Rattus norvegicus: one gene and its partner. Each later gene encodes a partner of the first gene's protein in a complex. Links are inferred from orthologs where the notes say so. Each region holds a gene or a part of one and is shown on either strand. Other genes may lie near its edges.

Region 1 (11,554 bases):
AGGTAAAGAGTCATTCCAAAACCTCAGAAAGAACAATTTGGGAGTGAGCCAACCCCATCATGCCTACTCTGGCTGCTGTCTGTTAGATGTACCGTCCACCGCTGAGGTTCACTGGTCCTGCACAGCCCAGGGGGTTGGGGGAAGGGAGGGAAGTGGGTGGCAGGGGGAGTGTTTTGGATAAACATGGCCCTCCAGAGTGAAGCCTCCGGACTTTGCTCTCCCATACCCCATACTGTGTGAGCAAAATGAAGCACCGGAGAGGATTTCACAACCTAATGAGGGCAAGTGGCAACAATAACACTAATGGCCGTAACAAAATAGCAGGCCTTGCAGCTCGGCATTCCAGGCTTCCCTCTGCCTCCTCCCTGCTTCCCAGCCCCTGCCCAGACAATTAATGAGTCCGAAGGAATTCTCCAGGAATGTGGTAATGAAGAAGGAAGAGGGGCAAGGGAGGGGGGGGGATGATGCTCAGGGAAGGTAGTTAACTTCTTCAAGGTCTCACAGCTGGGGAAGTAGAGGTGGCAAGCAGGCGCCCAGTGGTCCACTGCACACCACCACCACTCCGTGAGATGCAGCTGGCTCTCGGGCTCTCAGCAAACATCCAGCAGGTACAGGCCCTTAGCCTCAACATCTCCACCATGTCTCCACCATACAGAGCAGGACCGTGTACAGAGAAAGCAAGGGGCTCTCAGCCACACCCTCCAAAGGCTGGGTGTGGACCAAATGGCTCCCGAGCCCAGCCGAATATTGGAGAAGTTAGGAAGTTCAAGAAAAAGAGACCTTCAGAAGAAACTGCTAGGGGTAACAGCAACAGGGGTGGAGAGGTAGGGAGAGCCATTTGAAGGAAATGGATCCAGATAATGGAAGATTTTGAAAAAAAATCCACTCTCACAAGAAGGATTGTGCTCAGGGCTCAAGTTATGAAAAATTGCCAGAAACCTCAGATTTCAGATATGCCCCAGATCTGTCTCATAAGAACCTAAAATTTAACAGAATTCCCAGGTGGTTATCCTTTTGGCCTGGCTCTCCTCTTAAACTGGGTGGGTATGACGTGAGGTGTGGACAAGTGGCTGAGCTCAGGCCGTGTCTTGAAGATAGAGACAGAGAAAAGCTGGGGTAAAGTCTTGTATCCAAAGTCTGAGACAAACAAGGCTGAGGAAAGCCAAACAGGGAAAGGGGAGGTATCAAAAGCATCCCTGACATGTATACATGTCAGGAGTAGGGTGCAAATCTGGGAGACGGCGAGAAAAGGCTACCCTAATGCAGAGTGGATCTGTAGCATTAGGGAACCACATGTCCTCTCTGGTTCCCATGGCTACTAGAAGCACCAGGCCAGGACTCAGCTAGAAAAGGGCTCCACAGGGAGGGCTGTGGGACTACAGGCTGGTGACAGAGTCAGCATGGGGTGGGGAGCACAGGAAGCTGACAGTTGCCCTTTCTTTATAAGAAATGGAAGAGAGAATACTGATGCGGACCCCTGGCCAACTGGCTACAGCAGACTCCTCTGCCAGATGGTGACTTGGGCAAGCATCTCTACCCAGCTACCCCTTCGCTGTTAGGCGAAGACAAAATATTAGCACCTGCTCTCTGGGCACCAAGGAGAGCTCTTCAGGGACACAGGAACCCATGGCTATGGATTAGAAAGCAACAGGGAGGGGTTGGGGATTTAGCTCAGTGGTAGAGTGCTTGCCTAGCAAACGCAAGGCCCTGGGTTCGGTCCCCAGCTTCAGGAAAAAAAAAAAAAAGAAAGAAAGAAAAAAAGAGAAAGCAACAGGGAGGGCTGCTTGCTGGGGCTACTGCCCCATGGAGTATGTGGCTGGTACAACTTCAAGGGACCTTCAGGCCTCAATCTCTCTCTAACCTGCCTAATAGAACGGGTTACACAGCCAGCCTTGTCAAGAGGAATGAGCTGAGTCCAGCCTTGACAAAAAGCCTGGAAACACACTGCCTGGTCAGAGGTGGGTTTTTAACTCTACAGAAAGAGCTCAAGTACAGGCTTCTCTTGCAAGCTCAGTGTCCCTGTATGTTTTAGAGCGTAATACCCAGCACATTGATGCTAACATGAACACAAGGGCTTCTCTACAACAGGAATGCCTGGTGCGTTTATCAGAGATGGAAACTGAGGCACAGAAAAGCGACCTTCCCAAAGCCACCCCCACGATCCTGTAGCCAGTAATGCAGATGTGCTAGGGCTGTGCTCCCAGCCACCTCCCCGCTCCCTTCATTCCCGTGGGAAAGGCTCCTGCCCAAAAGCGTGGGGGAAGCCACAGCCCCATGATAAAGCCACCTCGCGTCACATCGCCCCAGGGTCCAGCAAGGATGGGGGTGTCCATGTGACTCAGTCACCCTTACAAAGGCAGCTGTGTGCTAGTGCCCAGGACAGCCTTCCCCACTGGGGGGGTCTCCCCTTCCCCTAGCCGGGGAGAAGTATGAAAATATGGCTGGTCCAGAGGAAAGGAAACAGGGGCCTCTCTCAGCCATTAAGGTGGGTTAAGCCTCACCAGGATTCAAGCCTAGGCTTGGGGTTCAAGGATATCATACCAGATAAAGTGGAATAAAGGCCAGGAGAGGATGCGAGTTGAGTCTGCCCAAGTCAAGTTTGCCTATTTTCTGAGACCTTATTGGGAGTCCACTCTAGGTCCTTGGGGATGGAGTTAAGCTGGGTGGCCCGTTTACATTTACCTGCCTCTCAGATTTCCTAAGCCCTAGGGTTGTGGTCTGGGGAGACACTCCCCCACCCCCACCCCCAGGTCTCTCTTTCTGGTCCCAGGGATGTTTGATCAAATGCCAACAAGAAGTGGCCTTGGTCCCTAGCATGGTCACATGACCTTTCTCTCTGTGCGAACCTCGTTCCTGCCTGCTGGGAAGAAGCCAATCCAGTGTCTTGTTCCCTAGCCAAGTTCATGCTGGCTGCCTCCAAGGCCACCCCCACTGGCTGCCATGAGAGGTGGGCATGCCTGGGTGCCCAACTACCCGAGGCTAGGCAAAACTGGCTAAGAGCCTCCTGTTCGTGTGGTGGCATGACAGAATGTCTGACCCTCACCTTAGCAACCCCCACACCAAGAGCCCGCCAGCAGGAGAGCTGGAACCAGCTAGATCTTGCTCAGAGAGTCAAATTGGCTGTGCCCCTGCCTCTTAGCATTCAGAAGCCCCTGAGCTCAGGGCTAAGGTGAGCACCTTGAACAAGCCCTCACGAATCCTGTCCTAAGTCTGTTAGTTTGGGCCTGTCCTTCAGGATCCAGAGACCTAGAGTCCTCCAGGGAGACCCTACCCATCTCTTAACATAGGTTCCCTCTGCAGCCCAGGTTGTCATGATGAGGTTCCCTGCTCTGCCTCTTCAGGACATAACTCTCTGACCTATACTCTGCTCAGAAGCAGCCTGGCACAGGGGAGCCACTGACTGAGGCTCCAAACCACTCTCCTGGCTGCTTTGGTTCCTTCCAGAATTGCCCCAAAGCTCTCCATAACTGCTGTGGGAGTCTAGCATCAAGCTGCTGGGCTTTGATCTTTGCATGCCTCAGTGTCCTCATGTGTAAAATGGGTATGGCACCCTCCTGACCACTGGGTTTGCTCTTGAGCATGTGTTGAAGTATATATGTGTGTGCATGTTTATGTGCACATGTGTGTGGAGGTCAGAGGTCAACACCAGTGTGCGTCTTCCTCCATCACTCTCCATCTTATGTGTTAGATGTTTTAGGAGTTTTATGTGTGTGTGTAACATGTGCAGATAACAGTGACACGACATGCATGTGGAGGTCAAAAGATAACTCACAGAAGTTGCTTCTCTCCTTGCCTCATGCGGGATCCAGAGATCTAACTCAAGTCATCAGACTTGAAGGAAAGCCCTTTAGCTAAACGCCTTGCTGGCCCTTCAAATTACTTTTTGAGACAGAGTCTCTCATGGAACCTGGAGCTCTCTGATTCAGCTAGACTTGCTGGACAGCAAGCCTGGAGCTCCTCCTGTCTCTGCCTCTCTGGGATGCAGGCACAAACCACCAAGCTTGGGACTGTGGTGCTGGAGAATCCGAACTCAGGCCCTCCAGCTTCCGCAGCAAGCATGTTGCCAACTGAGTTACCTCCCTACCTCTGTGAGTCTGCTCTTAAAATGGCTCCAGTGTGCAGGAACAGAGGGACTTCGACCCTCCGCAGGGGCCACCCTGCCTCAGCTAGAGCGTTGGACCTGGTCTGAGGTGACCAGCATTCCCCAAAAAGGCCATGTCAGCGGCTGCCAACTGTTCCACACTCGTACCCAGGCTATGCTGCCCCTCCCCGGGTCCTGTCCTGAGGTTGAGTGGCAGCTGCTCAGGCACCAGAACTGGTTCAGCTGTCTCTGATCAAGCAGAGAGGCATTGCAGTATCTGTGCCAAGGCAGGCAAAGGAAGCCCCCAGAGAGGGTGAGTGACTACGCTCAAGACGTAGAAAGGATGTCTTGCCCATAGAAAGGATGGGTAAGGCATGCTCCGTCTTGAGGAGAGCACTATGCCAGGTCACTCACTGCCAGTCTCCAGGACCGGAATGTTGGCTGTGTCCTCATGTGCACCCACACCCCCTTCCCCATACAGACAAGCACAGATACTTTGTGAGAGGTTGGCTCGGGGAGACTCACTTGGACAGTCACAAAGACACTCATTTCCTCACCTGAAATCCCAGTAGGCTGCCACCACCTCCTTCCCTTTTCCTTCCCCCTTTCTTTCAAGATATCGTCTCTCCATGTAGCCCAGGTTGGCCTGGAACTCAAAATGGATCTGCCTCAGTTACCCTAGCGTGGAGATTACGCCCCATCCATCTCCAGCGCTTCTCTTTTGATACAATAAAGAGCTGGAATCCTAAGTACTTTGCAGAAATCCCGCAGAGCATTCCCAACCCCAACCCCAGGAGACCCGCCCCCAACACCTCCTGCCTTCTGCATGCCCCTCTGCCCAGCAGCCAGGGAACCCCCCCCCCGTGTCTCCCATTAAGTGCTGGGGTGCAGGTGGCGCAGGCGGCATAATGGAGTGATATCAGATGCTCATTAGCAGGGACCCACCGTGCAGCCCACACGCCTCAGGGAGCCAGACTGGCAGAGGCAAAGCAGCGGCGCCAGCCGCCCACCTTTGTCTGGTTGGGTGGGGGCCATGAGCTAGGGCTGGGGGCTGGGCACTGGGGCTTTAGAAGCAATATTTGATTTGACATCTGGGGCCCTGTCTACCTCCGTCACGGTACAGCTAGGGTCATGGATCCAGTTGGAAGGAATGCCAGGGTCCCGCCGAGACCACAGCAAGCCTGAACTTTTCCTTCCGGTGCAGATGCATTTTTGGGGCCACCATGTGGGGAAGCAGTTGGTAGGACCCTTGCAGATGGGGACAAACCTGGGCTGACAGGCAAGGGGACCTGTGGCTGGCAGCAGCAGAGACAGAACTCCGTGAGCCCTGCCCTTTTGCTGGCTTACCAGGAAAGGTTGCCTGCCCCCTCTTCCTCCTCAGAAGTCAAACAACCAGGGTGAGCTGCTGCTAAACCGGTTCCCCCGCGGATCTCAGGAGGAAACTACTTGGGGAGCATTAGGAACGAAGAGGAAAATGGGGTTCATGTCCGCCAGTCTTCATCCACACGCCAGGGCCCAAGCTTCACTCTGGCCCTCATGGCAATGGTGCCCTTCTGGGCAAAGAGGGACACACCTCACATTCAGCCAACGTGCCCCATTGGCGTCTCTTGAGCATGCCCAGCCCACACTCTGCGCAGCAAGGAGTATCCTAGGAACAGCTAGAACCTCTAACTTAGTCGTTGCCTGGGAGACATGATCCAGCCCACTCACAAGAACCCCCAAGCACTGCGCTGCACCTGAGACCAAGGTCAAGCGGGCCGAGCCACGCCATACCCGCAGCCCTCTCTTACCTCCGTCTCCCAGTCTAACTAACAGCAGCGTCTTACCTCCAAGCCTAGGCAGGCCCTTCTGTTGATAGATAGGCTTTACTGCTGGTGCCTCTGCCTCCTCCTTCCAGGTGCCCAGCACCTAGTCTGAGCCTGTCTAGGCAGCTGTGAACTCAACCCAGGTGAGGCTCCGCCTACAGGTCTAGCTTCCGGTGCCAAGTGCCCTCGAACACTCCTAGGTTTTCTGGCGAAGCTTTACAGGGTCTTCAGCCTCCGTGGACTTTTGGCATCTCTTCCCTGGTTAGTAAGAGCTGCCTTGTGGGAGGCTGGGATCACACGGTCTCGGCGCTTCAGAGACCCTTTCGGGCTGTGGGAGGCATGCTGCCACGCCCACACACACCTGCAAACTGCCAGCCCTTTGTGGCTTCTCCACCCTCTTCCGAGCTGGGGCCCCACCTGAATCCTGCCCCTTATCCTGTCTACAGCGCAATACAAACTCAGCCACAGGCTGGATGCAGGAGGGCTCCGGGACTGCGGGTGGGGTTCTCAAAATGCCCTGCTGGTCTAAGGCGGAACCAGAGCAGGCAGAGGGTGAGGGGACAGGGACGGAGCTTTTTTGCTAGGGATGGGTGGTGGCAGCTGCCCTAGGTATCTTGGGAGGATGCCAAGGGGAGAAGTCCAGGCAAGCTCCACCCTGCAATGGAGAGGCCCTGTGGATGCAATTCCCTCAGACACTGCCACCCACCTCTTTTTCAAGTTCTTGCAATCAGTACCAGTATCAGGGGGGCGGTGTGTGTGTGGGTTCTTCTGATGCACAACCAGCTCCCTACATAGAAACCTGCTAGCTGAGCCATACTTCCCTCAGGAAGCCAATCCAAACAGAAGCGGATCCTCTGAACAAGAGATATCAATCACGGCTGTGGGCTGAGGTGTCCCTCCTGTAGGATTTACCTTGGAAACACCCCCACCCTCAGTCCATTTTGTTTCTTGAGCCTCAGATCAATCCCTCTGTTTTTCTTGTCTATGAACCCCAGCAGTTACCACAGCAGACCCAGAATAAGGTCCGTTCTACAGGAAAGACTAGTGAGTGGATAAGAAAAGAAGATGGATGGATAGGTGGATGGACAGATGGACCAGAGGATGGATTCCATCACGTTTGTAGAAAACCTACTGTGACCCAGGCACTGTGCTGGGCATAGGAGAGACAGCTACGAGCCACACACCTGCCCTCTCAGAGCTGCAGGGCTACAGATGACAAATGGATAAACGATAATCTACCCAGAGCTCTAGTAAGAGTAATGGGGAGGAAAATACCGGTGAGGGGAGCAGTGTTAGATTCTCAGTGGGAGATGATGCTTGAATACAGACAGCATCCAAGCAGGTAGCCTTTGGAGTACCTAGAAAAGAGCATTCTGGTGGACAGAAGGGCAAAGGCGGAGGGGTCGGTGATTCTGACTTAAGGGATGAGGAGGAGAAGGTTGCTCACGGCCGGCCGTGCAGCTGAATGAAGGACCCAAAGGCGGAGACGAGACCACAGAGGAGAAGGATCTCGAAAGGGAGCATCAGTCCCAAGATGATGCCAGCACCTGCTTACTGGCAACAGCTCTAGACGGGCCCTGCCGAGACTCTTCAATCCTACCAAAATGCCTTCCTCATGAGAACCCCTGGCTACAGGGTGGGCATGCACACTTCCTCTGCCCAGCACAAGCTGGATCTCTAGAGCTGAGCAGATGGGGAGTGAGAGGGCCCACAGGGAAAGTCTGACTTCAGTTCCTCGTGGCCCCCAGAGATACCATCTGTCCTGATAAGGACACACAGGGGAGTCCCAGTGATTTCCTGTATGCCCACCAGTGACTCCCTAGCTTGTGAGATCCACACCCACACTTCACATCTTCCCCTGTGTCTTCAGCCCTGCCCCACCCCACCCCCACGTGTGATCTAACTACTATTCTGTCACCTGATCTCAAGGACTGGTGCCAGAATCCTAGTCTTGAGCTCACTTTTGCTGGGTTTCCTTGGAAAGGTTGCTTAACCTCTCTGTGCCTCAGACCACCTATCAAATGGGGACCTCTGCTTTTGCTGTGCTTGCTCTCCAAACATAGCAAGAATTGGAAGGTTTTGTGTGCCCTGGCAGTGCAGGCACCGTGGATCGTTTGTGAGTCTGGAGGCACGGTCTCCTAGCGACCCAGACCATCCCCTAGGATAGTGGGTTAAGGAAATAAAATGTAACAAGAGCCTGGCCAAGTCTCAGACCTGCCACCTGCAGAGATGAACTGTAACCAACCGGACCCAGGCAATCAGTCCTGAGCTAAATGCAAATCGTGGGGCACTGACTCCTCCCTCATCCTGGAGGGAGTAGCTACCCAGCGCTGAGGGGGCAGAGTACTCCCAAAAAGGTCAGAGTCAGGTACAGAAACAGGCTTGTAGTCACACCCAGGCAGCTGAACTCCAGAATCAGCCCTATTCCCACCCCTCACTGAAAACAGAGAGAATACAGATCCTGTCCCTTCCCTTTCCTCACAGTGTACCTGGTGAGAAGGTGAGAGAGTCCCCAGGGGGTCTCATGCTTTCAAGCTAAGTTTCCACGGCCTCTCTCAGAACTGATGGAGCCCACAAGGTCAGGGGGTGAGCTCCCTGACTGAAAGCCGTGGTTGAGCGCACCTTGGACATTGAGAAGGTGCTGGCTTCATCCAGGCAGGCATGAGCTCAGGCAGGGTTTCTGACTCGGGCCATTCCCCCCCCCCTCCGCTAGTTCCTGTATTTATCCACTGAGCTAATATTTGCCTAGTAAGTACTAGGTGCTGGGCCTCTCTGGTTCAGAGAACAAACACCCTGTAGGGCGGGCAGTGGAAATGATGGGGTGGGGGGTGTGGATGGGGTGGGGGTGTGGATGGGGTGGGGGTGGGGAGGCAGGATCAGACTGTCTGAAGCCCAGCCCAACCTGCTGTTCAGTCACCTCCCTCAGCCTCGTGTGCACAGCAGGTGTTAGGGGCACCTATCCAGGCTGTGAGGACTCCTGGAAAGATGCTCAATCAATGGCTGACACGTGTTTGAATGCCCCCTAAGTGCTCCTCATCCCCAGTGCAGAGCAGATGAAAGGTACTGGCTTTTGGCAATCCTCCACGTGCTCAGTGTTGTTCCTGCTACTGAACAGAAGGGGTCCCCACTGCTTCCAGTGACACAGAGTGTCTCCCTATGGCCGCCCCTGGCAGAAATCATCCTTCCCAGGAATGTGGGTGTGCGAGCTCACTGCTCTAGAGCCCACCCCAGCAGCATGCTGGGCTGCCTCACCGTCCTCTGCAGAAAAGAGTCGGTATGGGTAGCTGATGACACTGCCTAGCCCTCGGCGAGTTCACGGTAAGCCAGGTGTGATGACTGTCACCCCAGCAAGAGGCTGAGGCGAGAGGATGGAGAGTTCAAGGCCACCTGGGGCTGTGCGGCAGACCCAGACTTGGCTAAGTTCTTAGTGAGCTCGTTCACGGCAGCTTTGTGCCCTCTGGTTGAGGTCAAGTCTGGCATCTAGGTCCCTCCACACAGAGTCATCCATCTATGCCCAATCTAAGTCAGGAAACCACCCCCGCTGCAGTCTAAGCGTTTGCCACCCAGTAGCACTTCGGTGCTTCGAAGCTGAAGCCTTTCCCTGACCTGCAGTCAGTAGTGGACAATGAGGCGTCCATCCTGAGGTGTTTTCAAGTGAGTCACATGAGGAGATGGAGCATGTACAGGGGAAGGGGAGGGTACTGCTGGAAGACACACCCATGCCAGCAGCCAGCAGATCTAAGAGCAATATCTGTCCTCGGTTATGGGCAAGAGAGATAGATGTGCCTGTGCCCCTCCATCATGAGTCAACACTATTGGGCCACATCCTCAGTGTTCCGTGACACTGCTCTTCTCCAGGTTGCCCTGTGTCTGGAGGTGACTGAATCACATTTGCAGCTTCTCAGCCTCACTTCAGCCTGGAGTTGGCACTCGCCATGAGCCCACTAGACAGACACAGGAAACTGGGGGGAAACTAAATGTCACAGCTGGGCCTCCAGCAGAAAAGCATAGAAGGGGTTGGCCCCAAAGTAAGATTCCACCCACACAGGGAACCCACTTCCCACCCTCCTCTGCCAGGGAAACTCCACCTGTCCTCTTTCCCTTAACCTCCCTGTACAGGAAGTTAGCTCTTCCCCTGGCACCCCCACCACCACACACACACAAAGTCCCACAGCCTTTTACCTGTAAGAACATTCAGCTCCTCGGAGTACCTGTGTGTTCAGGTCCCGGCCACACACTGAGTCTCAGGCTGCGTTCGGATCGTGTCCAGGGATTGTGGACCAGGAGGCTGAGACCCAAATGTAACTGCATTGCCAAGCAGAGCCATCATCAGCCTTTGAATGGATTACCTATCCCTGGATTGTCTATACCATGAAACTTCTTACTGGATGTATTTCATTCGTTCATTCAACGTTTTCCAAGTGTCGAGCTGCTCTCTGTGGGATCAGACACACAGTATGTCTGTCTCTAGGGTACCCATGCCTTGAGGAAGATGGGAAAGAGATTTCAAAGTTGGAGGACTAATGTGGCGACCCAGGAAATATGAAGGTGAATGTTTACACATAACCAAGGAGTAAGGAAGAGAATACGGAATCCAGAATCCACATTAGCTTAGGAAATCAGGGAAGCCTTCTTGGAGGAGGTAAGGAAACAGCAGCCCCGAGAAGAGTGGACTCAGGGCACAGGCAGGATGGGAAGGCTCAGAAGGGCAATGGGCCCAAGTGTAGGGGAACCGACAAAAAGAACTGGGAGAGGACACCTCCTTCCTGGACACTGACTCCAGTTACCCAAGGAAGCTGGAAGTCAGGCAGCCTTGGACGTGTCTGTCCTCGGCTAGAATTAGCCACTCTGCCTGAACTGGTTCTGCTACCCATTCCAGGAACATCAAAGATGGTCTCCGTCTATCAGAAGCCGGGAAGAAATGTTCTTGGAGTACTCAGAAGGGACCAGCTCTGTTGACACTTTAACCCTTGACCAGAACCAGAACCAACAACACATTTATATGGTTTTGGTTTCTTTTTTTTAAAAAGATGTATTTATTTATTTTATGTATGTGAGTACACTATCGCTGTCTTCAAGACAGTCCAGTGCTTAAAGAACACAGATGTGTCGTTGGTTCTGGAGTCCAGAAAGTACAGAATAAAGTGTCAACAAGGCTTGTTCCTTCTGAGGGTCCCAAGAACCTTTCTTCCCATCTTCTGGTGGATGGAAGCCATCTGTGACATTTCTGGACCAGGTAGCATTGCTGGGCCTCTGTCCCCACCTTCCCTGCATGGCTGTCTGGGCTCACATTCACTGTTCTATAAGGCTTGACCCTTAGAGCCTCCAGCTAACTTGATTAACTCAGGAAAGACCCTGTCCTCACACCTGTCAAATCATCCTGTACTCAGGTCCTAGAACCTTGATTGCCACGACAAAGGAAGCAAAGGGAGACCAGAGTTGAGCAACGGTAATAGATTATAGCCAAATGGAATAGTTAGAAAGTGCTACATTGTGGGGCATGGTGACAAAGACCTTTAACCCCAGCACTCTGTGGGCAGAGGCAGGTGGATCTCTGTAAATTCCAGGCCGGCAGAGTGAGACCCTGTCTTAGAAAGCAAAGAGAAAAGAAGTTCCTCACTCTGAGTTTTACTACTTTATAATTTTGTTTATGTAACTTAATTCCTCT
Region 2 (10,466 bases), on another chromosome or scaffold:
TGGGGTGAGTGGCCAAGTCCCTATTCCCAGATGCCTTGCCTACCCCCACCCCAGTTTGGCCTCTCTTATGATTGACAGCCACAGATCCTTAGCTTTCTCTTTCTCTTTCTCTCTTTTTATTCAGGTCTGTCAGTTAAAGAATAAATCCCAGAGAGTTTTCTGGAGTCAACTCCCTGATCCCAACTCTTTTATAAAACCTGTCTGTAAGTGATGGCTTGGCCAGACACCCACATTAGCAGCCTTTGGGACTCAGCTGAACAGCATCTCTCACCCTGTTTTGCCCCCAGTTCACAGACAATATCCCCTTACCATTAGAGAAGCCAGAGTCAAGCATGGTTGTGTGCTCGACTGTTTTACAGGTAAGCCCACAGACTGAGGAAAGCAGGGTGACCCACCAGCTGCCCCTCAGCCTCTGTGGCTATCAGGGTTTGTCACCGCAGGGTCATGTTACCACCAAGGGAAGGATGAGGAACAGGTGTGCCTCCTGGTTCTCCTGCCCAGGTTCTCAGAAAGACCTCTGGACCAGTTCTTAAACAAAATAAGTGATGTTTCAAAGGAAGCCAGGTTACCAGGGCAACTCAGTCTTGTCACTGCCTCCTCAAGCCAGTTTAGGAGGAGTCTGGCACTGTGCTGCCTGTTGGAGCCTGTGCCATGCCCTACCCTCCTGCCTCTGTTGCCCAAGTTGATGGCTAGGCTCTTAAGGGTGTGTAGACAGAGCTGTCGCTGTAACGTGCTGGAAGGTCTGGGGATCCCCAGCATTACTAGGGCTGTTACACATGAAGGCACCGTCAGAGTCTCAGTCTTCATGCCATTTGTGGATTGGGCACAGGTGCTCAGTGTGACTTTGATTTTTATATTACACACTCTCTTCTCTTAGGCTCTGGTGGAGGTTGGGGGCTCATCCCTCTTGGATTGGAGTGTGAACATGGAATTAAACACCTAAAGAGGAGACTGAGAAACTGAGGAAGAAGGGCGCATGAATGGGGTAGGAGTAGAGGGCGATGGTAATCAGGAGAAAGTATCCCCCACCACAGCTTCCTCTTTGAGGGTTAAGCAGAGCACGAGATCCTAGGGTAGAAGAAGGTAGGTGAGTTCCATATGTCCTCTTTCCGGGACCATCCTGCTTGGGAATTTCCCCAGAACTTTCTTGAGCTTGTGCTCTGTCCTGAATCCCCACAGTGAAGAGCAGGTGCCCTTTCAGGCCCGGGTTCTGGTTTCTATTTGCTGTCTCTACTGGGGAGTGCCACTGACCCTTCCAGAAGAGAAGGCCTAGAAGTGGGGAAGAGATTGCTTCCCTTGGTCTGTTCTCACCGTGGGGCCTGGTGACATCACATGGTCACCCCTGTCCTCCTGGCAGGGAGACCTTGGTGTCTCTACCGCAGAGTTCTCAGTACCCTACCTGAAGCAGTCTCTACACAGTCTCAGGGCCGTTGGGACAGGGTACCAGGGGAGAGCCCGGCAGCATCCTGAGTGGCTAGGGCTCATTGTGGCCACTTCTCAGATAAAAATGTTGTACAGTTGGTCAATCTGGAACAGTAGGGGGAAAAATGTTTCCTGTTGATTTTGGAGACAAGGTTTCAATAGCCCAGGCTAGTCTCAAACTCACATGACCTTGAATTCCTGATCCTCCTGCTTTTACTTCTCAAGTGCCACCAAACCCAGTTTACGTGGTGCTAGCTTGAACCCAGGGCTCCCTACATGCCAAAGCCTCTTATCAACTGAGCCACGTTTTCTGCCCAAACCTCCTTGTTTGTGTCGTGCACTATTAGAGGTACACTTGAACTCTGTTCTAGAGTTACAATGAAAGGAGCTGGTGGGACCCAGAGCTCAGCGGCAGTGGCTCAGTGAGCAGACCCCATGGGGCCTGGTTGACGTCCGGCTCCACAACTGGAAGTGATGGCTTTATATGATAAGCATCGTAGGGTTCCATCGCCTCACAGCGCTCTGGCCTCTATATGACATTGTTCCTGATTTTTTTTTCCTAGCTGGCTGGAGGTGTGATCCTAGGTGTAGCTCTGTGGTTGCGCCATGATCCACAAACCACCAGCCTTCTCTACCTGGAACTGGGAGACAAACCAGCACCTAGCACCTTCTATGTGGGTGAGTAACAAAGAGACAGGGTCTAGTCACAAGTCCAGAACAGTCAGGGAGGGCTTCCAGGAAGAGGCTGATGAATCTGAATCTGGTGGGTGGGGCATTAGAACCCACAGTGGCCTAGGCCTAATATGAGCTGGAGAGGGAGGCTGCCTACAAGAGGAGAGTTGGGTTGGGTGTGGTGCTGCTGGGGACCCCACAGATCTGAGACTGGGCTAAACTGAAAGGAAGCAGCTGGGAAGGGCAGGGGCCTTGTAGGACCTTGCTTATTTTAACATGGACATTTCTAGTGAACCTTCCTGGGCAGGGTGGGGCTGGATGCCTGGGCTAGCAACAGCTGAGGCCCCAGGAGTCCTGAGTTGGGGAGGGCTGGAGACAGTGAATGACTCAGATACCCCATCACACCCCACCCCACCCCCACCAGCAGAGGCCAGACTGCTGCACCTGCCTTATTTGGCTGCCTGTGGGGGACTGAGCACCTCCCTCTCAAGTAGGAAGATAGCGGCTGTGCTATGCTGTCCTATGCTGTGGTCCACTATTCTGTGCTGAAGGAGGAAGCTTTCCTCCTTCCTCCCCCTGGAAGAGGGACCTGGTGTCCCGAGAACTGAAGAAGTATTTGGAGATGGTTTCACCCTTCTAAAGCTCTCACCTTCATCAGGGGTCTAATGTGGATCTTCCTCCTCCTCCTGTGGAGCCTAGAAGGGGCTGGGGAGACATGCTTGAGGCTGAGTGGGGACCAGGAGATCTGAAGTAATCAGCATTCTCCCTTTCCGCCTAAGTGCCCCAGAGCAGACAGGGCTTTGGTCACCACATGACTCGCTCTATTTCCTTCCTCCCTATACTCTGCCCACAGCTTCAGCGTGGGTAAAATGGACCGTGGTAGAGTCCAGACAATGTAGGCTGGGGCCAGAACCTGGTCTCCTTCGAGGAAGGCTGTGAGGGGTAGCAGTTTTCAGGCGTGGTTGTTAGTAGGAAAGGGCCCACACCAGCTATCCGTCCTTGGATCTGGTACCTTCAGAGGAGGAGGAGGATGCCCACTAGCTCATACAGACACTGGCTTGTTGTGTAGCAACTGATATGGGTCTCTTTACAAGGGAGATCTGGGCATCAGAGACAGACAAGGGGAAGGCTGTGTTCCCACTCTGCACTGGTATGGCAGGAGAGGCTGGGTACCCTGCAGAGCCCAGATAGGGTGGCCTAGGAAGCAGGTCTCTATCCTCATGTTCTCATAATAGTCTACTCCAGGCTCCAGTTCCAGAGCTGCTCAGCCACCTGCCCATCTGGGGTTATGGCCCCCTGGATACTGGATAAATAGTCTCAGGGACTACACTGTGTAGCAGGTTGGGTGCTGACAGCAAGGCCCATAGCCTATGGGTAGGAGCTACTCTGGCTGCTGTGTCCCTGGACAACCTGAATTGACTTTCTGGAGCTTCCTGCTGCCCCTGAACTGAGCTCCTCTAGGAGCAGATGTGGCCCTGAAAAAGGTGTCTTGTCCAGTGTTTAGGAGAGTGAGTTCAGGGCTTGCCTAACATCCCAGAAACCACCACATGGGCTTTAGGTGAGACATGCGTTAGGCCTAGGAAGTCCTGGGACAGTGCCTGTGTGTTGGGTGCCCGACTGTATGTATCCTCCTTTGAGACAGCCTACACCTCATCTTGAGGTTGGGGTTTCAGGGCTTGACAACAGGGACCTGGTTGAAGGTGCTCCGCCCATTGGGAGGCAAAGGTGAAACCAGTTTCTAGGCAACCTTGGTGGGAGGTTTCCCCTAGACCAGGCATGTTTAGTGAGGCCAGAGGATTTGGCCTGTTTCTAAGTCTGGCAGCAGGTCCAGGCCACGGTACTTTCTCCGCTGGTCTGGCCAGGCAGGGGACAATGGGTCTGACTCTGTACAAGGAAGCTTGGAGTGCCCTGCATTGTTGCCGTGGAGACTGGGGGATGGGCTGCTTCTACTGAGGAACCAAGAGATAGAGGGCTCATCAGAGACACAGTGTGCTTTCCCTCGGGGCTGAGGGGTACTGTGGCCACTGAGGCAGGGACATGGTCCAACTGGTGCCTCGTGGGCCACAGTGTTCCCCTGCAAACTCACAGCCCAGCCAGTGGCAGATGTTGGGTGCTCTGCTCAAACTATCCCTATCATTCTGTCAGCCCTCCAGCCACCCCCCCACAGGTTCCTGTCCTTAGAGTTAGGTGAGCAGAATGGTTATACAGCGTTCCTGAGATGAGGTGCCTGGAGTTGGTTACTGGCTTAGCTTACCCTTGACTTCACACTCATCCAGTATTGGGAGTCCTGGACATCGGGCCCCAACATCCACGACACTTCCCCATTTCATGCACTGAAGTGGGTAGTCTGCCTCAGCCCTCTACAGTGAGTGCCGAGGAGGGTTCCTGATCTCAGGTGCAGGTGGTGGGGGACTGGCTCCAGAGCAGAGCATACCTGTGAAATGGAGATTACCCGTGTTCTCTGGGCACTGAATTGCTGTTTTGTCCTCCAGTGGCAGTGGCGGCTCCTCTCACAGGACACTGAGGCACAAATGGCGCACATTGCTAACCTCTGCCTGTTGTGGTTGTGAGTCAGATCTTCCTATCTCAGGCAGTGGTGCATGCAGCCTGCTTACCCAGCTCTTCCCCTCCCCAGGCATCTACATTCTCATTGCTGTGGGAGCTGTGATGATGTTTGTAGGCTTCCTGGGGTGCTATGGGGCCATCCAGGAGTCCCAGTGCCTGCTGGGGACGGTGAGTAGAAAGGGCTGAAGGGCTGGGGAGCAGGGTTTCTGGCAACTTACGTGTCTTCCCCAAGGTTTTGGTTTTCCTGTTTGCTTGATTTCCATTGGGTCTGCATATGAATATATATCTTAGAAAAAGGGATTTCACTTTAGAAAAAAATAGACTCCAGAAGGGCATCTCACCCCTAAAGCCAGCCTTAGTGCTCCTGACCATACTAGCTACTGGAGAAGAAGCTGAAGCCCAGATAGATATGCCTTCTAGAGCCTGGTCAGCCTGGGAGGGAGGCCCTGACAGTATCGAAAGCAGGGGAAACGACTGAAGCACACTTCATAGTTTAACCTTTCCATGGCTGTAGGATAAAGGAGGTGAGGAAACTGAGGTCAGGGTTGCGGGGTGTTTTGCTGCATGTGCCTCAGTGAAGGCTGTGGACACTTGGACTTGTCAGCTGCATTTCTTACACCAGCCATATCCTGCAGAATAGGAAGCAGGGGGAGGCTGTGACAACTTGGCCATCTCAGTGGGGCTGTATCAGGCTCTATCTCTCAGTGGCTCTACGTGGCTCATTCTTAATCAGGCCATGGTTAGTGGATACAGCCAACCCCCTTGGCACATAGTTGTTGGTCACGTGGGCTAGGCCTGGGCTTGCTGGTCAAGGCTCTGACCTCTTCTTTCTCCTAGTTCTTCACTTGCCTTGTGATCCTGTTTGCCTGTGAGGTAGCTGCGGGCATCTGGGGCTTTGTAAACAAAGACCAGGTAAGCCAGATTCACTGGGGAGGGAGATATGCCCTCTGCTCTGAGCCCATAGGTTATCAGGTACTTTTTTTTAATTTCTGGGGCCCATTGGTGGGGGCAGGGTCTTGGGAGCTTAGTGGAAGAGGTGGCATGGGGCTGAGCACATGGGGGGTGGGATGAATACTCTTGGTGGTAGCCCCTTCGCTGCACGTGACCATGATTCTCCCCCAGATCGCCAAGGATGTGAAGCAGTTCTACGACCAGGCCCTTCAGCAGGCTGTGATGGATGATGATGCCAACAATGCCAAGGCAGTGGTGAAGACCTTCCATGAGACGGTACAGCTAAGCTGGAGCAGGAGGGCAGGTTGTGGGGTGTGTGGGGGCATGAGTCCCAGATCTCTGTAACAAGACCTGGGAAAGGTTCTCCTCTATGATTAGATTCCCCAGGTAGGAATCTAATGGGCCTCGTTTTCCCAGGGGTTTGGAGGAATGGGACTTGTGTGCAGGGTGACCAACCAGGCAGAAGGACAGACAGCTCCCAAGTGTATATTTTGGGGTGATGCTGTGCTGTGGGCTTGATCTTTCCCTTGACAGTGTTGTTCTTGGTCTCTGCAGCTCAACTGTTGTGGCTCCAATACGCTGACCACACTGACCACCACCGTGCTGAGGAACAGCCTGTGTCCCTCAAGCAGCAACTCATTCACTCAGCTTCTGAAGGTGGCGTGGAGTGGGGGTGGGCATCATATCCTGGGTGGTAGGTAGGGGAATGTGGCACGCCAGGAAGATCAGCACTCTGAACAGGCAGGACCTCTGAAAGGCCCATAGACCATCTCAATTAGTGGGATGCAGGGTCCTGACAGCCTGGGTTAACCCCTGCAATATCCTGAAAACCTGTTCTCTTGAGTAGTCCCTCAAACACTGGTACCCTAGGGTACTAGTGAGGTCAAAAACACTACCCCGTGATAGAGAAGGCCACAGGCAGCAGGTCCATGTGTTTTACATTTATTTACATGTGGAAGATAAGCTGTGGTGCCTAGGCCCCATCACTGAGTAGGGTGGTAGCTGTGACTTAGCCACTGACTGTTAACCACCGTCTTGCCATCCCTGCAGGAAGACTGCCATCAGAAAATCGATGAGCTCTTTTCTGGGAAGCTGTACCTCATTGGAATTGCAGCCATTGTGGTAGCTGTCATTATGGTAAGCACAGGGCCTCTGGTGGGTAGGCGGGCAGAAAGCATCCTTCCCAGGGTCTTAGGTGCTGACTGTGCCTCTCCCTCCTGCAGATCTTCGAGATGATTCTGAGCATGGTGCTGTGCTGTGGCATCCGGAACAGCTCCGTGTACTAAGGCCCTTCGCTTCGCACCAGAGGGTCCCTGGAATGACCAGAGGCCACCTTGGGGGCCATGGCCTGTGTATATACTATTTCTGTATTACTCTGCTACACTTAGCCTTTTTACTTTTGAGTCTTTTTTGTTCTGAACTTTTCCTGTCACCTTTTGGAGCCGACACCACACATAGGTGGCGTATGTGGGGACGTAGAGGTGGAGCTGGCCCTAGCTGGCAGGGCCCTGTACTTCTGGGACCCCTGGAGAGTTCTGCCTGCTGAGCCAAACCTCCTCCATAGCTACTTGTCCAGAGGCCACATAGCCAAGCTAGAAGGCCATGTCCACCCACTCTGCCCACTGTGGGTCACATCGCTCCCATCTTTTTAATCCTTGTCCCTTTCCTGCCTCCATTTCAAGAGCTGGGTTTGTAAGCACTCTTATGCCTTCAATGCACTTATTCTTTCTAACGTGTCACCTTCAACTGTAATTAAATCTTGAAACAGTCATTTAATAAAGGAGGAAAAAATCAGGCATGCTAATGGGACTGCCAGACCTCTTCCTGTGCCAGTGGTGTCAGAGACCTGGCTCGTCAGCTCTGAACTTTGCCAGGTACAGGGTGAGCAGGTCCAATAGAGCCTGTGGAACACAGTGGGTGGGGAGGGCTGGGACCCTGGGAGCACTCCATGTTGAGTACTCCCTCACTTCTGTACCTCCCTGTACTGGGAGCTCAATGCTGACCTAACACCAGCCTTGACCTCATTTCCACTCATCTGTTGGGAATGCCAGGTCGGCTGAGTCGGGTAGGAGGAGCCACAAGGCAGGGGAATCCAGCACAGAATGTTGGGGATAAACTGCAAGAACACTTTCCTTTTGAGGGACAAGACAGTAAAGGTTAGACCATTACCCCATCTCAGGTATCTAGGTGTTGGAAATATTCCACTGAGCTGGATGGTTCTAGCTTGTGTCTCAAGAAATAAAAGGCAGTCCGCTGAGCTCACCCCTGTGAACTGAGGATCAGGCTAAAGCAACCTCCTGGACACAAGGGGCAACCACCACTGTCTTTCTCTTTGACTCCTGTCTGCACCCCTCCCCCAGGCTGCTGGGTTAATTGGCCACTAGAGAGGAGAAGTCCTGGCTAAGATTCAGGTCCCAGCAGTAGGCTGATTTGTCGGTGAACCCCAAGCTTGTACTAGGGCATTCTAGGTCTCAGCCACCTCCACCCACCACGCCAGGGCAACCTGTTCCATGCTTGGCTGGCTTCTGAGGGAACCTTTATATTCTATGTTGTGAGGCCCATGGGCACCAGGCCAAGGCTGTTGGAAGCCTGTTGCACAGCTTCAAGAACATAGTAAAGGAGGAGAGAATGCAGCAGCCCAGTGGATCCTCAGACTCTGGTGTCTAAGGATGCAAGAAAACAGTCCCAGGCCTGGAGGAGGATTATGTGTGGCCTTGAATAGTAGGGTCAGCGTCCAGCACCTAAAGCGTCCGTCCGTGCCTGTGTCAGGAAGCACAGACAGGCAGTGCCCACGGTAACGGCCTCGAATCTATGAAGCCCCAACCAACCCATTACAAGGACCACCACGTCTCTATACGCCAAGAGCCAACCAGGACCTTGGTCCCGCCCAACTCCAGAAAGCCAACAAAGCACAAGACCCGCACCACTTCCGCCCAGGGCCGGAAGTGTCTGGGAAACTGGTTGTAGCTCGCAGTGCGTAGTGACGCACTTCCTCGTGTCGGACCCGGCCCAGGTGGCTTCCGACGGACGACGCTAGAAGCCTCAACCCTTTGCGATTGGCAGTTAACCCTAGAGTATTGTGGGAATCACGGCTCCGCCTTTTCCCCTTTCGTCATTTCTGGGTGGATTTCCGTGTGCGCTCCGGTCTTCGGGATGGCACACATGTTACAAGTCCCGGCAGGCATTAGGCAGTGACCCCATTGCCTTCTGGGAGTTGTAGTTTCTCGGGCGCTGAAGCCACAATATTCTGATAGCCCGAGACTCGGTTTCCCAGGAATCCAAGCGAGATTGAACAGGCCGGAATCCCGTGGAACTGGCGGGACGCTGCGGGAAAGGTGGCAGGTTATTGAAGCGTGTACGGATGCTGGAACGGTGAGCACTGGCCTCCCTAGGGCCGCGACCAGGCCAGTACCGTGCCTGTTTCTGCCACCTCCCCCTCCGGACCCCGGGTGGTGCCTTCAGTGTGTGCCCAGAGAGGCTGCGCTTTGCTAAGAGCTCGTGATGGGACGAGCCGCTGATGGAGATCCCCTGTCACCAGCATCTCCCAGCGCTCATCTATTGTATGTCCACACTGTTATGATCTCATGGTTGACTCTCTCCTTAACCCCACCTAACCTGCAGCTCCACATCTGTGCACGCTAGGATACCCTTTAGCCACCCAGCTTCGCGAGGCCTCCGGTCCGGTTGTGAGTAGAGGCGCCTGGCACACAGTGGAGGTGAAAGAGCCCGGGAGGGCGGGGAGGGGTGCGGCATTAGGTACACCCCTCACGGCAGAACTGGGACTGCCTTGCTACAGGTGGGACGGATGTCAGGTCTTATGGCGGAGACAGAGGCCGGCTTGGAGGTTGAGGAACCCACCGAGGATGACACCCTGCCTTCTGACACCGTCTCCCTCAGCGACTCGGACTCTGACCTCAGCTTACCTAGTGGTGTGGAGGTCCAAGCGTTGTCCCCAGAGAGGCTTTCTGGGGAGAGCCAGGAGGACTCGGGCCCTGATGACCCTCCCTCGCACCCCACGGGCATTCCCACCACTGCAGTGCAGCCGTTCCACCTCCGAGGCATGAGCTCCACTTTCTCCCAGCGGAGCCACAGCATCTTTGATTGTCTGGAGAGTGCAGCCCGGCAGGAACCGTGCTCTGCTCCCCAAACCAGTGTGGTTGACAATTGCAGCTTCAAGCGGCCTGTGGCTCCCCCAAGTCAGACTCCAGCAAGAAGCTTGAGCAGAGTGCATGGGAACACTGACCCGACCAGGGTACACCCTGTCCCTGACTATGTGTCACACCCTGAGCGTTGGACCAAATACAGTCTGGAAGATGTGTCTGAAACCAGTGAGCAGAGCAATCGTGATGCTGCCCTGGCCTTCCTGAGCTCTCGAAGCCAGGCATCCCCCACAGACTATGTGCCCTTTTTCAACCAGGACCCCTCTAGCTGTGGGGAGGGAAGAGTGGTCTTCACCAAACCAGTGCGGGGCAGCGAGGCTAGGGCTGAGAGGAAGAGGGTCCTAAAGAAGGGGGTTGTGTCAGGTGCAGGGGGTGAGGCCTCAGTGGAGCTAGCCCATCTCGCCGGGCCTGAGGCTGAGGAATGGAGTGGCCACCAGGGACAGCCAGAGGTGGTAGTGCCTTCAGAAGCTGCCCGTCCTGAGTCCTCATCAGGCCCCATAGGTATGAAAACTGTTGGTTTCCATGGCAGCAAGAAGCGGAGCAGAGACCACTTCCGGAACAGGGATAGTAACCCGGAGGGGCCAGGGTCTGAGAGAGGACCCTCAGTTTGACTGCAGTGCCATCGCTCTACCTCCTCACCTGCCCAGTCCAGGTGGGACAGTGTGGGCTCTCTGTAGTAGGGATGTGTGGGCCTCA

The links.
Region 2: Adgrg1 (region 1) and Cd81 share a complex: the UniProt entries of both Homo sapiens proteins name them as parts of the GPCR-tetraspanin complex. The link is inferred for Rattus norvegicus from reciprocal best matches to the Homo sapiens genes ADGRG1 and CD81.

Annotation. Positions count from the first base shown.
Region 1 is NC_086037.1:10,040,949-10,052,502, forward strand, and holds the start of Adgrg1 (adhesion G-protein coupled receptor G1 precursor), read right to left. Parts: upstream 6,191-11,554; 5' UTR 5,908-6,190; intron 4,028-5,907; exon of another isoform or gene 1-4,027. UniProt on the Homo sapiens protein: Adhesion G-protein coupled receptor (aGPCR) for steroid hormone 17alpha-hydroxypregnenolone (17-OH), which is involved in cell adhesion and cell-cell interactions.
Region 2 is NC_086019.1:207,673,681-207,684,146, forward strand, and holds the end of Cd81 (CD81 antigen), read left to right. Parts: intron 1-1,985; coding exon 1,986-2,100; intron 2,101-4,729; coding exon 4,730-4,827; intron 4,828-5,496; coding exon 5,497-5,571; intron 5,572-5,781; coding exon 5,782-5,886; intron 5,887-6,165; coding exon 6,166-6,267; intron 6,268-6,660; coding exon 6,661-6,747; coding exon of another isoform or gene 6,748-6,833; coding exon 6,834-6,896; 3' UTR 6,897-7,414; downstream 7,415-10,466. Other genes in the region: U5 small nuclear ribonucleoprotein TSSC4, read left to right, coding at 9,416-10,381. UniProt on the Homo sapiens protein: Structural component of specialized membrane microdomains known as tetraspanin-enriched microdomains (TERMs), which act as platforms for receptor clustering and signaling.